4 linked regions of the Saccharomyces cerevisiae S288C genome follow. The protein of the gene in region 4 binds, or shares a complex with, the protein of the main gene of each other region. Each region holds a gene or a part of one and is shown on either strand. Other genes may lie near its edges.

The links.
Region 1: MRPL28 (region 4) and MRPL10 share a complex: the UniProt entries of both Saccharomyces cerevisiae proteins name them as parts of the mitochondrial large ribosomal subunit.
Region 2: MRPL28 (region 4) and MRPL38 share a complex: the UniProt entries of both Saccharomyces cerevisiae proteins name them as parts of the mitochondrial large ribosomal subunit.
Region 3: MRPL28 (region 4) and MRPL33 share a complex: the UniProt entries of both Saccharomyces cerevisiae proteins name them as parts of the mitochondrial large ribosomal subunit.

The regions. Positions count from the first base shown.
Region 1 is NC_001146.8:102,609-105,925, reverse strand, and holds MRPL10 (mitochondrial 54S ribosomal protein uL15m MRPL10), read left to right. Parts: upstream 1-1,823; coding exon 1,824-2,792; downstream 2,793-3,317. Other genes in the region: WSC2 (Wsc2p), read left to right, coding at 1-742. UniProt on the Saccharomyces cerevisiae protein: Component of the mitochondrial ribosome (mitoribosome), a dedicated translation machinery responsible for the synthesis of mitochondrial genome-encoded proteins, including at least some of the essential transmembrane subunits of the mitochondrial respiratory chain.
Region 2 is NC_001143.9:128,888-131,590, forward strand, and holds MRPL38 (mitochondrial 54S ribosomal protein uL14m MRPL38), read left to right. Parts: upstream 1-1,746; coding exon 1,747-2,163; downstream 2,164-2,703. Other genes in the region: protein kinase NNK1, read left to right, coding at 1-1,374; putative serine/threonine protein kinase KKQ8, read right to left, coding at 2,401-2,703. UniProt on the Saccharomyces cerevisiae protein: Component of the mitochondrial ribosome (mitoribosome), a dedicated translation machinery responsible for the synthesis of mitochondrial genome-encoded proteins, including at least some of the essential transmembrane subunits of the mitochondrial respiratory chain.
Region 3 is NC_001145.3:840,036-842,726, forward strand, and holds MRPL33 (mitochondrial 54S ribosomal protein uL30m MRPL33), read left to right. Parts: upstream 1-1,906; coding exon 1,907-2,167; downstream 2,168-2,691. Other genes in the region: NGL2 (RNA exonuclease), read right to left, coding at 109-1,656; DSS1 (exoribonuclease II), read right to left, coding at 2,401-2,691. UniProt on the Saccharomyces cerevisiae protein: Component of the mitochondrial ribosome (mitoribosome), a dedicated translation machinery responsible for the synthesis of mitochondrial genome-encoded proteins, including at least some of the essential transmembrane subunits of the mitochondrial respiratory chain.
Region 4 is NC_001136.10:1,384,511-1,387,042, reverse strand, and holds MRPL28 (mitochondrial 54S ribosomal protein mL40 MRPL28), read right to left. Parts: upstream 971-2,532; coding exon 527-970; downstream 1-526. Other genes in the region: STP1 (Stp1p), read right to left, coding at 1-227; CMI8 (Cmi8p), read left to right, coding at 1,277-1,519; MFA1 (mating pheromone a), read right to left, coding at 1,757-1,867; TFIIH/NER complex subunit TFB3, read right to left, coding at 2,267-2,532. UniProt on the Saccharomyces cerevisiae protein: Component of the mitochondrial ribosome (mitoribosome), a dedicated translation machinery responsible for the synthesis of mitochondrial genome-encoded proteins, including at least some of the essential transmembrane subunits of the mitochondrial respiratory chain.

The sequences.
Region 1 (3,317 bases), on a different chromosome or scaffold from region 4:
AATAGGTACTTCCACGCATTACACTACCCGTGTGGTGACGCAGTCCGTGGTTTCTCAAGCTAACCAACAAGCAAGCACGATCTTTACCACCAGGACCTCTGTTTATGCAACAGTATCGTCTACGTCCTCCTCTACTAGTTCTCTCTTAAACGGGAAATCGAGCTCGTCCAAGAGCAAAGGCTTGAGTGGTGGCGCCATCGCAGGTGTCGTAGTAGGTGTGGTTTGTGGTACAGTTGCCTTGTTGGCTCTGGCGTTATTCTTTTTCGTATGGAAAAAACGTCGCCAATCTTCTCAGCATGTGGACTTGGAAGAGACAAAGCAGTACCAGCCGTACTCACTGGGTGATGCTGACGCTAACCCTGTTATTCCACCGTCTGCTTCGAGCACTAACTGGCACATACCCTCTAGGAATAATACAGCATTGTCCAAGAATACAGCGTCTACTTTTGCCACTTATGATCTGCCGACAAGGGCGCCGGGCGGCAGAGATTCTATTATTACTGGTGATGCACATAATATCAGCAAAAGAAGTCACTTTCCCTCGGTAGTGTACGAGGAGCCTCCTTCGATCTATAACGGGAACCAAAGGTTCAGTGCTACTTCGCTGCCCGATATGATGGAAGAAAGACAACTACACATTGTCAACCCCGATAATGTGAGTTCAAATATTGGGAGTAATGTCTCAGATGGTGATGATGATTACGATGATGCAAAGGATTCCAATAATAGTTCTTTGCGCTGACTAGGTTTAGATACCAACACTACATATTCATATCAAAGACTTATTCATCCTTTCATATTTCTTTCCTTCATTTTCCCTTTGTATGTATAATATTATTAAAGCCGACGATTATTGCACGAAAGAAAAAAAATATAGATAAAGTGAACAGTACCGACCATATCAATATTGATTTATCATGTTAAAAAGTTAAGTATATGTATAGTTTATCAAAATGAATGTACACATTTTCTATTCTTCACAAATCTGAGGCAATGGGGTCTGTCTCAAATCACCATCAGGCATGTTTACCGTAGAATAAAAATAATATGCTTCCAATCGGATTTGAACCGATGATCTCCACATTACTAGTGTGGCGCCTTACCAACTTGGCCATAGAAGCTCAGAACTTGAGAAAACCGGATATACAAGTGCTACTTAACAAAATGAGTATGGAAATCCTAATCTTCTTACTTTAGTTAGTATAAGAATCTGTGTATATTTGGTGAATAATTTGATGATTGTTGGGATTCCATTGTTAATAAATACTATACTAGAAGTTCTCCTCGAGGACATATGATGTCGTTAGGACGTGATAAAAACCATTTCGTCCTTGGGAGATCACGGATGCATCGAGAAGTTTCCTAGCCAGTCATTGGGTTATTGTGCCGAAATTAACTTTAATCAATCAGAAGAGAGAAACCAAATGGCGTCCCCCAATTATTCACACTTCTGCAAAACAACTTAATTACTTTTCGTTTTTCACAAAACAAACGCAGCTCATATTTTGGGTAGGGCATTCCAAGTATCCATTTTATTGTGCGTTCATTGGTCTCGGTGAACGTAGGACAATATGAGTTCCGATTATACCAAATACCGTAGCAAACTCCTGATTGCAATTAAACAGTATATTTTGCGTATTCTGCGTCGCAAGCAATGTTAGATAAGGTACCTTTATGTACTATACAAAGCTACTATTCACAGCTACTATCTTTATATCCGTTTTTCTATTTGGCAATCGTATAGTTTTCTTACCCGGCTGAAACTCCAGGTAACTGCACTAAACGCAGTGCGTAAAATTAAAGCTCATGACCTTTAGAAGTTGATGAAAGCGGAAAGGCAAACAGGATTAAGAAATAGTTTTACAACCGTAATCGGTCGCAAACTAATAAACACTTTTGTTCCGTCCATGATGTTAACTAGCGTAGCTGGTAACGATATTTTTTTCCGAGGTTTATTCAAATCGCCGGTATTAGCATTTCAAAGTTATCGTTATGTTTCGATTTTGGGACAATTGAAACCGTCAGATGGTTCTACAAAGTCTTTCAAAAGACTTGGGCGTGGTCCTTCCAGCGGTTTAGGTAAGACATCAGGGCGTGGTCAAAAGGGTCAAAAGGCGCGTGGTAAAGTAAAATCGTGGTTTGAAGGTGGTCAAACTCCAATTTACAAGCTATTTCCTAAAATTGGATTTACCAACGTTGGCGCCAAACCATTAAAGGAATTAAACTTGAAACGCATTCAATGGTTTCATGATAAAAATAGGCTTCATTTGCAACCAGGCGAGGTTTTAGACATGAATAAGATGAGAAAGCTTGGTCTGGTAACTGGTCCCATAAAGTACGGAGTTAAAATTCTAGCCAGCGGAAAGTTCCACTACAATCTACCGATTGCTTTGGAGGCTTCTAGAGCATCCGCTAAGGCTATTGCGGCTATTGAAAAAGCAGGAGGTAAGTTTACAGCTCGTTACTACACACCGTTGGGTCTAAGGGCACATCTCAACCCCCAGTGGTTTCTTGAGAAGAGGGGAAGAGTACCACTACAGGCTAGACCCACGAAAAGAAGGGATATTGATTTCTATAGTAAAGAAGAGAAAAGAGGTTACCTAGTAATGGAAAAAGATAAACTCTTACAAGATATCAAAGAAGCTCAAAATAAGGGTTCTAGACACTTTTTAAAACAGAATGTAAAAAAGAGCTCATTAGAAATAGAGCTAGAAGAACTGTCTCCAGAGAAGGATTGGGTGCCAGTTGTGTCTAATTCTAAAGTCATGAACATCAAGGCTTTGGACCACTAAAAAATTGTTAACCGTTTTATATATAAGTAATATTCTCACTTGTACATACCTTAAGATATTGTCTTGTTAATGATTCATTTGGTGTCCGAAATTATTCTATTTTTCAGTCAATTTATGACCAACTATCGAATAAGGTCCTGATTTTCAGAAATTTTTAACTTTTATTTTCTTTTTTGTGAATATACTTTAAGCAAACTCAAACATATTAAAAGATTGCATCTTGCTTTTTCGGGAGAAGTAAAGCAGTTAAAGGAAAAGAGAAAAACTACATTCTTCTTTTAAGCATTATTATAACAGGGTGAAATGGTTATTTAGTAAATAAGCACAAATACAAAAAAAATAAACGACCCCAGTGAGGGTTGAACTCACGATCTTGCGATTAACAGTCGCACGCCTTAACCAACTTGGCCATGGAGTCTTATAATATATGATTTGTTGTATCTCAAAATGAGGTACGTCAGTATGACGATTCCTTATCCTAAACGTTCCTAAAACACATATGTGTGGGAAATGGGTGAATTTTGA
Region 2 (2,703 bases), on a different chromosome or scaffold from region 4:
GGTGTTGGTAGAGTGATAAAAATTGTGAAGTTCAAAGGACACCAAAATATCAAGAAACATGTGCTGAGAGAAGTAGCCATATGGAGGACTTTGAAGCATAACAGAATACTCCCCCTTTTAGATTGGAAGCTTGATGACAACTATGCAATGTATTGTTTAACGGAAAGAATTAACGATGGTACCTTATACGACTTGGTAATATCTTGGGACGAATTCAAACGTTCGAAGATACCATTTGCAGAGAGATGCAGATTGACCATTTTTTTAAGCTTACAACTATTATCTGCATTAAAGTACATGCATTCCAAAACGATTGTTCATGGTGACATCAAATTAGAAAACTGTCTGTTACAAAAAGAAGGTAAAAAATCGGATTGGAAGGTTTTCCTATGCGATTTTGGAATGAGTTGCCACTTCGATGAGAAGCATGTTTATCGTAACGATACTTTTGATGAAAACTTGAGTAGTGGCAACAGCCATAGAAAGAGAAAAAGTATTGAACAAACTAATTTGATAAAGTATCCCACAACCAATTTTTTACCTGACGACCGAACTAATGATTTTGACGCTAGTGAAAACTTAAAATACCAATTTGAAAATCGAAAGCATCAACCGTTTACACCAAAAGGAATGGTTAGCTCCAGTTCACATTCATTAAAGCATCTCAATCAACCATCCTCTTCTTCTTCTTCTAATCTATTTCACAAGCCAGCCTCTCAACCTCAACCACAGCATCGGAGTCCCTTTCATGGGAGGCACAAGACAACCGATTTTTCAAACCTGGAACCCGAACCTTCTAAATATATCGGATCTCTGCCTTACGCTTCGCCAGAACTTCTAAGATACTCAGATGCAAGACGTTCAAAATCAGTTGAAATGCATATTTATGATTCACCAGACTCCTCTCAATCGGAAATTAGCGCAGCATCATCATCTTCCTCTAATTTATCTTCTCTATCATCCTCTACAAAGGCGTCCGCAGTCACGAATTCCGGTGTAACTACAAGTTCACCGTCTGGTTCATCGACTGATTTTCCATGTATTGTTTCTCCTTTAGGACCAGCATCCGATATTTGGGCCTTGGGAGTAATGCTATATACAATGTTAGTAGGAAAATTACCCTTTAATCATGAGTTCGAACCTAGGTTACGCTCTCTGATTAAAGTAGGCGAATTTGACCGATTTTCTTTAGCTCAGGTCTGTAAATTTGACAGGAAAAAAAATGAAGGAACGATTGGTCAAGGCTTGTATGACACAGTCATTGGATGTTTGACGATTGACTTGGATAAGAGGTGGAAATTGAAAAGGATTGAAGAAGTCCTTCAAAACGAAATGAACCTAAGCGAGGCCATTCACGATAATAATGGCTCATGACTTATGATTAATGATATTGATTGCATTGAAAAAATACATACATTGTGCTTACTTTTTTTTCTCCCATTTTATAAATTATAACGAACTTCATAATTACTATTACGAAATATGTAAATAAGTATTTTTATCGCATATTTGATGCCTCTATCACTTATTTGGCGCTATTCATTGCGACTCGTGCAACGTGCGAAAACTCAGAATATTTTTTTGAACAGCCTTAAATCATGTTGCTAAATGACGGATGGAAGAAAAGGGACCTATAGAAGAGTTCGGATAAATTGTGAAGCGTGGATATTGGCATAGCGGATTTGTAGAACGGTGTGTCGTCAACCCTTTGAGATCTGGATAAGCCATATTTTCTAACATCACAACATGATATTTCTAAAATCTGTCATCAAGGTAATCGACAATTCAGGTGCACAATTAGCAGAATGTATTAAAGTAATAAGGAAAGGGTCCCCCAAGAGTCCTGCAATGGTTGGAGACAGAATAGTCTGTGTTATACAGAAAGCAAAGCCCTTGACTCAAAACATTACGGGGACAGCCAACACCAACCGTGTCAAAAAAGGTGATATTTGTCACGCAATTGTCGTAAGGTCTAAACAGCGTAACATGTGCAGAAAGGATGGCTCCACCGTTGCATTCGGAGATACTGCTTGCGTTTTGATTAATAAAAATACCGGTGAACCTCTGGGGACAAGAATTATGGCTAATGATGGTTGTGTAGATAGAACACTGAAAGACAAGGGATACAATAAGATATGCTCTTTGGCAAGTAGGGTCATATAAGAATAAAAGTACCCCCATTTTCCATTCATTAACGTTATAATCAAGGGACTGTAAACCAGCAAAAGAGCTTTGTCGTCATTATTTAATTAACCACCTGTATATATTGCTTAAATTTTAATGTATGACTTTAACTTTGAAAACGCATGAACGTGCTGCTGACGTTCTACTCATTGGAGTTGTATTCTTTTTCTTGTCTTATTCTATAATTGCATGCCGTGAATATTGTATACAAGATATTTATGTGGAATCATATATTAGGCAGCAATTCGTACTTTTCATCCACTGCATATCTAAAAGTTTGCCAACAGAAATCCTTTTTCTTGGTTCCCATTGAAAGATGCGATATAATGCGATTTTTCTATTTGTGGCCAACTCTGAGTTTACGTGCTTTAATTCTTCGAATACCCTAAACTGGTTTTTACGCTGCATTTCCTTGTAAAATTCATCATAAGACATATCTTTTTCTCTCGAAGCTACTTTCCAAAGATAATGCCCCAATATCATTGTTATATAAACAACGCCACAACTCCAACAGTCAAT
Region 3 (2,691 bases), on a different chromosome or scaffold from region 4:
TATTTGGTAGGGTAGGGTATTTGATGTAATATTTATTATTAAGAACTTTTGTCGTGCTAAACGTTGTACTGTACAACTATTAGCAAGATATTTATGCACGACAGTAATCTATAGTTGTAACTCTAAATCACACACCATAGACAAATGATCACTTGCATATTCTCCAACATGTGGTTGTCCATGCTTTGTCATTTCATTACCGGGCGGCATTCTCAAAAAACCTCTGCATTTAACTTTATTTTCTTTTTCAAAATCGCCAAGGGTTTCCACTTCCTGACAATTACTTTGTGGGTCCCATTTCTTTACATAAAATAGATAGTCTAATAAACCACGCCAAGTGTTTGCCCAATTTGAAATTTCAGGCTCACCTCTATCATTATCAAGACCTGCATTTTCTGGATGAACATTCTTATACCCAACAGAGTATAGTGAAATAGCCCTCATATCCAATGAGTTATGGAGTTGTGCCATTTTATCTACGAGTTCAGACTGTTCTTCATTAGCATGAAATTTTTCAGGAACGGGGCTCTCAGGTTGATCTTTACCATATTTTTCAATATTCCCGCCTTCTTCGTCATCTGCACCTTCTTCGCCATCACGGACCTTGGAAAACTTATATGAAGTGCTGCACCCAATGACGGTCTTTGCCCTGTTTCTATAGTGCACTGGTTTGGATGTCATAGATAAATATGGTGTGTCGAACGGCTGGGAATTAAAATCACCACAGAAAAAAGGAAACCAATGAGATAAATCCCCATCATTTTCGTTCTGTAAAACATTCACACGATGCATGAATTCCTTCATCTTTTTTAAAACAATATAGCATTGTCTTGTTCGTTCATAAGTACCAAATGGATGCCAAAATAGATGCGTAGTGCCGATCAAGATACCGCATTTTTTAGACGATTTTTTACCCAAATTCGACAGTACTTTCTCAGAAAACTTCAAGGCTAAGACTAATCCCACGTTGTTTGTCGTTGTTCTAGTGGAAATGCTTTCTGAACTTTCTTTATCATAGTCGATTAGCATTTTGTCAACCTGGTGAAATAATTCTCTCCTCCACATTATCGCGACACCATGGTTTTTTGTAGCATTTCTATAATATTGTCCATCGTATCCCAATTTACTGAATTCATCTTTCCAAAAGCTTTGAAACTGAATATGATCAATCTCTTGCAAACAAATGACATCGGAATTATAATATTTAAACTCGTTTAAGAGAACTTTAGAACGCCTGTACCATTTTAAAGCGTCACCACTATCCGGGAACAGCTTTCTGCGGATTAGAGCTTGCGCCAAGCAATTATAAGTCATTAGCTTGAATCTAAATCCAGTTACTGGCTCTGCCTCATGTAGAGATAGGAAAGGTCTTCTGATAAAATGCAGCTCTGGCGGGCAGTCCGGATCAACACCTTGAGCCAACATTGCATCTCTTTTAGCCTTTCTCATAACTTCCCTTTCGGCACGAACCTTAGCGATATGTTCTGGGGTCACTATGGGCTTCGATTTTTTACCTTTCTTGCCCTTCTTTTTATGTTGAAGTAACGAATCATCATTGGTTTGATGTTTTGCATCTTTTACAGATTTATTAATTTCTACTTCTTGGTCGGGCGCAACATCTGGGGCAACCACTTTGACTTCTTTGTCTTGTGTCATATTTACTTAATACTCTTAACTACAATTAAGAAGCTATAAGGAGACTACAATCTCATCTTCTTGCAACACTACTTTTCCTTTCCTCTTGCTTTAGTGCAACCATTTTTTGAAAAATGAATGGTCTTTCTGCACGAAATATCTCTCGAAGAGCTTTTCTAGATATTAAGGATAAAGTATATCATCCCAAAAGTTAGGTGATGGAATCAATATTGATGGACCAGCTAAAACACGTTGAAAGCAGATATCAGGAATGGTGTTTTACAAAGTCACGTTGAGTAGGTCGCTTATCGGTGTGCCACACACAACGAAGAGCATTGTCAAAAGTTTGGGTTTAGGTAAAAGAGGGTCCATAGTCTACAAAAAAGTAAACCCGGCCATAGCTGGCTCCCTAGCTAAAGTAAAAGAGTTAGTCAAAGTAGAAGTAACAGAACATGAATTAACACCATCGCAGCAACGAGAGTTGAGAAAGTCAAACCCTGGGTTTATAGTGGAGAAGAGAACCATCGACTGAAACAGCGAAAATAAGGCAACTGGATTTCCTTTCTTCTTGATATTCCTGACTTATATATGTATATAGTATTATTTTTTCCTGCATAGGCACATATGTTAATAGTAATTTATGCAATTTTTGATACAAAGAAATCAATACACTATCTCGATTTCATATTTTATGTATGTATATATTTACAAGAAGAAAATTATGCATGGTCTATTGAATTTTATATTTGGAAAAAGAGTCCCTTTTTATAGCTTTTCCAACTCTAACATTCCTTCTAAACAGTCAATTTTTGAAATTTTACAATTCTTCACGATATCTCCAATCATCGGATAATGCATAGAACTTGGATGCAATTTTAATGTTCCTCTAGCGAACGATAAGTCTGGAAAAACACATCCAGTAAATCCGTTCTGCGGTACTGATGTTACCATTACATCGAAAGTCCTTTCTGGCTCTAGTTTGGTTAGCTTTTTTAAATAATTCAGTGTCCAGTACGTCGACGAATTACGGCTAGCCCTTTTTAAAATATCCGCTCG
Region 4 (2,532 bases):
AAAGAACGGTCTATATTATTTGATTCGGGAAACAAACTTGTGGTAGTCTTTTCTTCATCTGCTGCATCTTTGCCTTCCTCCTTTGTCGCATTTTCACAAGAATAATGATGACTTAGATCTGGCTTGGATATAATAACTCCGCTGACGAGCTCTCTGAAGAACGCGTATATCTTGCCTGGAATGGCCCTAATATGTTTCTGCGGAAACAGTAGCGTGGTAGAGGGCATTTTTGAACGAATGTGGTATAGCCGGTATAGTTTGCCTTTTCCTTTAGTCTGTAATGTAAATCTACTTTTAATCAATGAGTCCTTGCAGTTTATACAAGAGTCAGCTTGCTTTTTTTTTCGCTTGCAGGGATGGGAAAAAGCAGTAAAAAAAACGTCAATAGTGATACAGTTCATGTCATAATTACCACATGCCCTTTATATGTCTATGTACATATAATTATATAAGTCCATATATACGTGGCATTCTATTGATCATCAGTTATTTACAGCAGGAGACAGTCAAGCGTTCGCTCACGCTATCATTTTCGGAAGTTATAATGCCATAACGTATTTGGGGGGAAGTCAGTGGGCACCTTCATTTCCATCGGGAATCGCTTGCCCTTCTCGGAAGCATTGGCAGCCTCAAACAGACGAGGGCTGAGTTCTTGTAGAAGGTTCATAGATCTCTCAATGCTCTTATATTGTAATTCCAACTGTAAATTTCTGCGCTCCCGTTGTTGCTGCTGATAAATTGACCAACACTTCTCAATGGTCTGATGTTTAATCAGGTCTTCACGCGCCAGCTTCAGCAACTTGGGCTGCTTTCTGCTTGCAGACATCACACTCAACTGCGTGACGACCCTTTGTGCCAAAGGTGACAGTGAGCTCTTGCTCTTTGTTCTCTTATTTCTGATGAAGACCGTGGTCCCAGATACCTGTTCTAGAACGGCTCTGTGTGGTTTTTTGAATGTTTGTGCCAGCATGTGTTATCTTCGTTGTGTAGCGTAGGTCTTCGTCAGTTCAGTATCCTAATCTGCAAATATCTGGAGGTATATTAACTTATGCTTCCCTCCATACAGGCAGGCCCCAGTCTGCTTCATCTTGTTTCTCGCTGGGAACTTTTGTCGCCCCATACGATAGTCACTGTATACGTAATTCTCAGCCGTGCATATTTCACAATAAAGACAGTCTAAAGGGACAAAGGCAAAGCGTCAATGGACAGACGACAATTAACTGGATATTATTTTATGTGTTGAGTATTCAAAGCACATAAACAAAAACAGATTATGATGGATAGCGGAAAGAGTGATATAAATAAGCATGCATACAAGGAGACAGCGACCCCGCTGCCCGTAGATCCGCCCTCTTACGAAGAAACAATGAAGCAAGATAAGGAGGAGGTCGAAGCCGATGAAACGACATCTTCCGCACACAGAGACAGCTTTATGAGGCCTGTTTACACTCACCATCCGCATCCAAGATCCCACAAGGGATATCCGGGTGCGAAGACCCTTACATATACTTCACGGTAGGTGGTAAGCGGTATATGTACATATACATATATATATATATATATATATATATGAGCGTGTGCATGGATGTACAACGATAACAAAAGCAGGTACAGGGTATCAAAATATTTTATATAATATAGTTACTTAGGATATTTATTATTAGGTCTAAAAAGAAATATTACGAACAAACATGATATATTGGTGTAGCGGAAAAGGAAGATAAAGGAGGGAGAACAACGTTTTTGTACGCAGAAACTAAGCAATAACACATGCTGGGTCCCAGAAGACACCTTTGATAATATAGTTGTCCTTCTTTTCACTGCTGGTCTTTTCTTTTGGAGCGGCGGTAGCGGTAGATGGTTGCATTTCTATTCGATGGCTTTGTACTTATTTTGGTTTTATCCGAGAAACAGTTACAGATCCCTCTCATTAATTCATTTCTGGCGGTTTATATATGAAGACTCTATTTCATTTTTTTACTTGATTTTCAGCAACCACTGAATCTGTATCTTTATCTCTACCATTTTAGGTTTCTTAACTGTTTTTTCTGATTACTGGGTTTCATTTAACATGTAAATTTCCTTTTTGGGTAATTACACACTCGTTTGTAACAAGAACAAAGAATAAAGGTATGGGCCAACCGTAGCAGTAGGTGCCTTTTTTCTGAACACTGAAACAGATCGTGAATGCATGTATATGCGTACATAGAAAATAAAAAGTAGTTGATTACATAGCTTATGCCACGTTGCACACTATCCTGATGTTTTAAAGCTCCTCGGATATAACACATCCTAAGCCCATAAATGCCTCTGTCAACACCCTTTCGTACGCATAATTAGTGTTGAACCCAGACGCAATAAATTCTTTCCTGTGCTCAAGATCTTTGATGAATGGGTCATTGTATACTGAACCTTTCAACGTAAACCTTGGGTGTGCTTCTCTATCACCGTTAAACGGCGTGAACGGTACAGCATCTTTGAGTCTCGAATTCTGTACGTTCACATTTGAATTGAAATATGGATTGTTTTTCA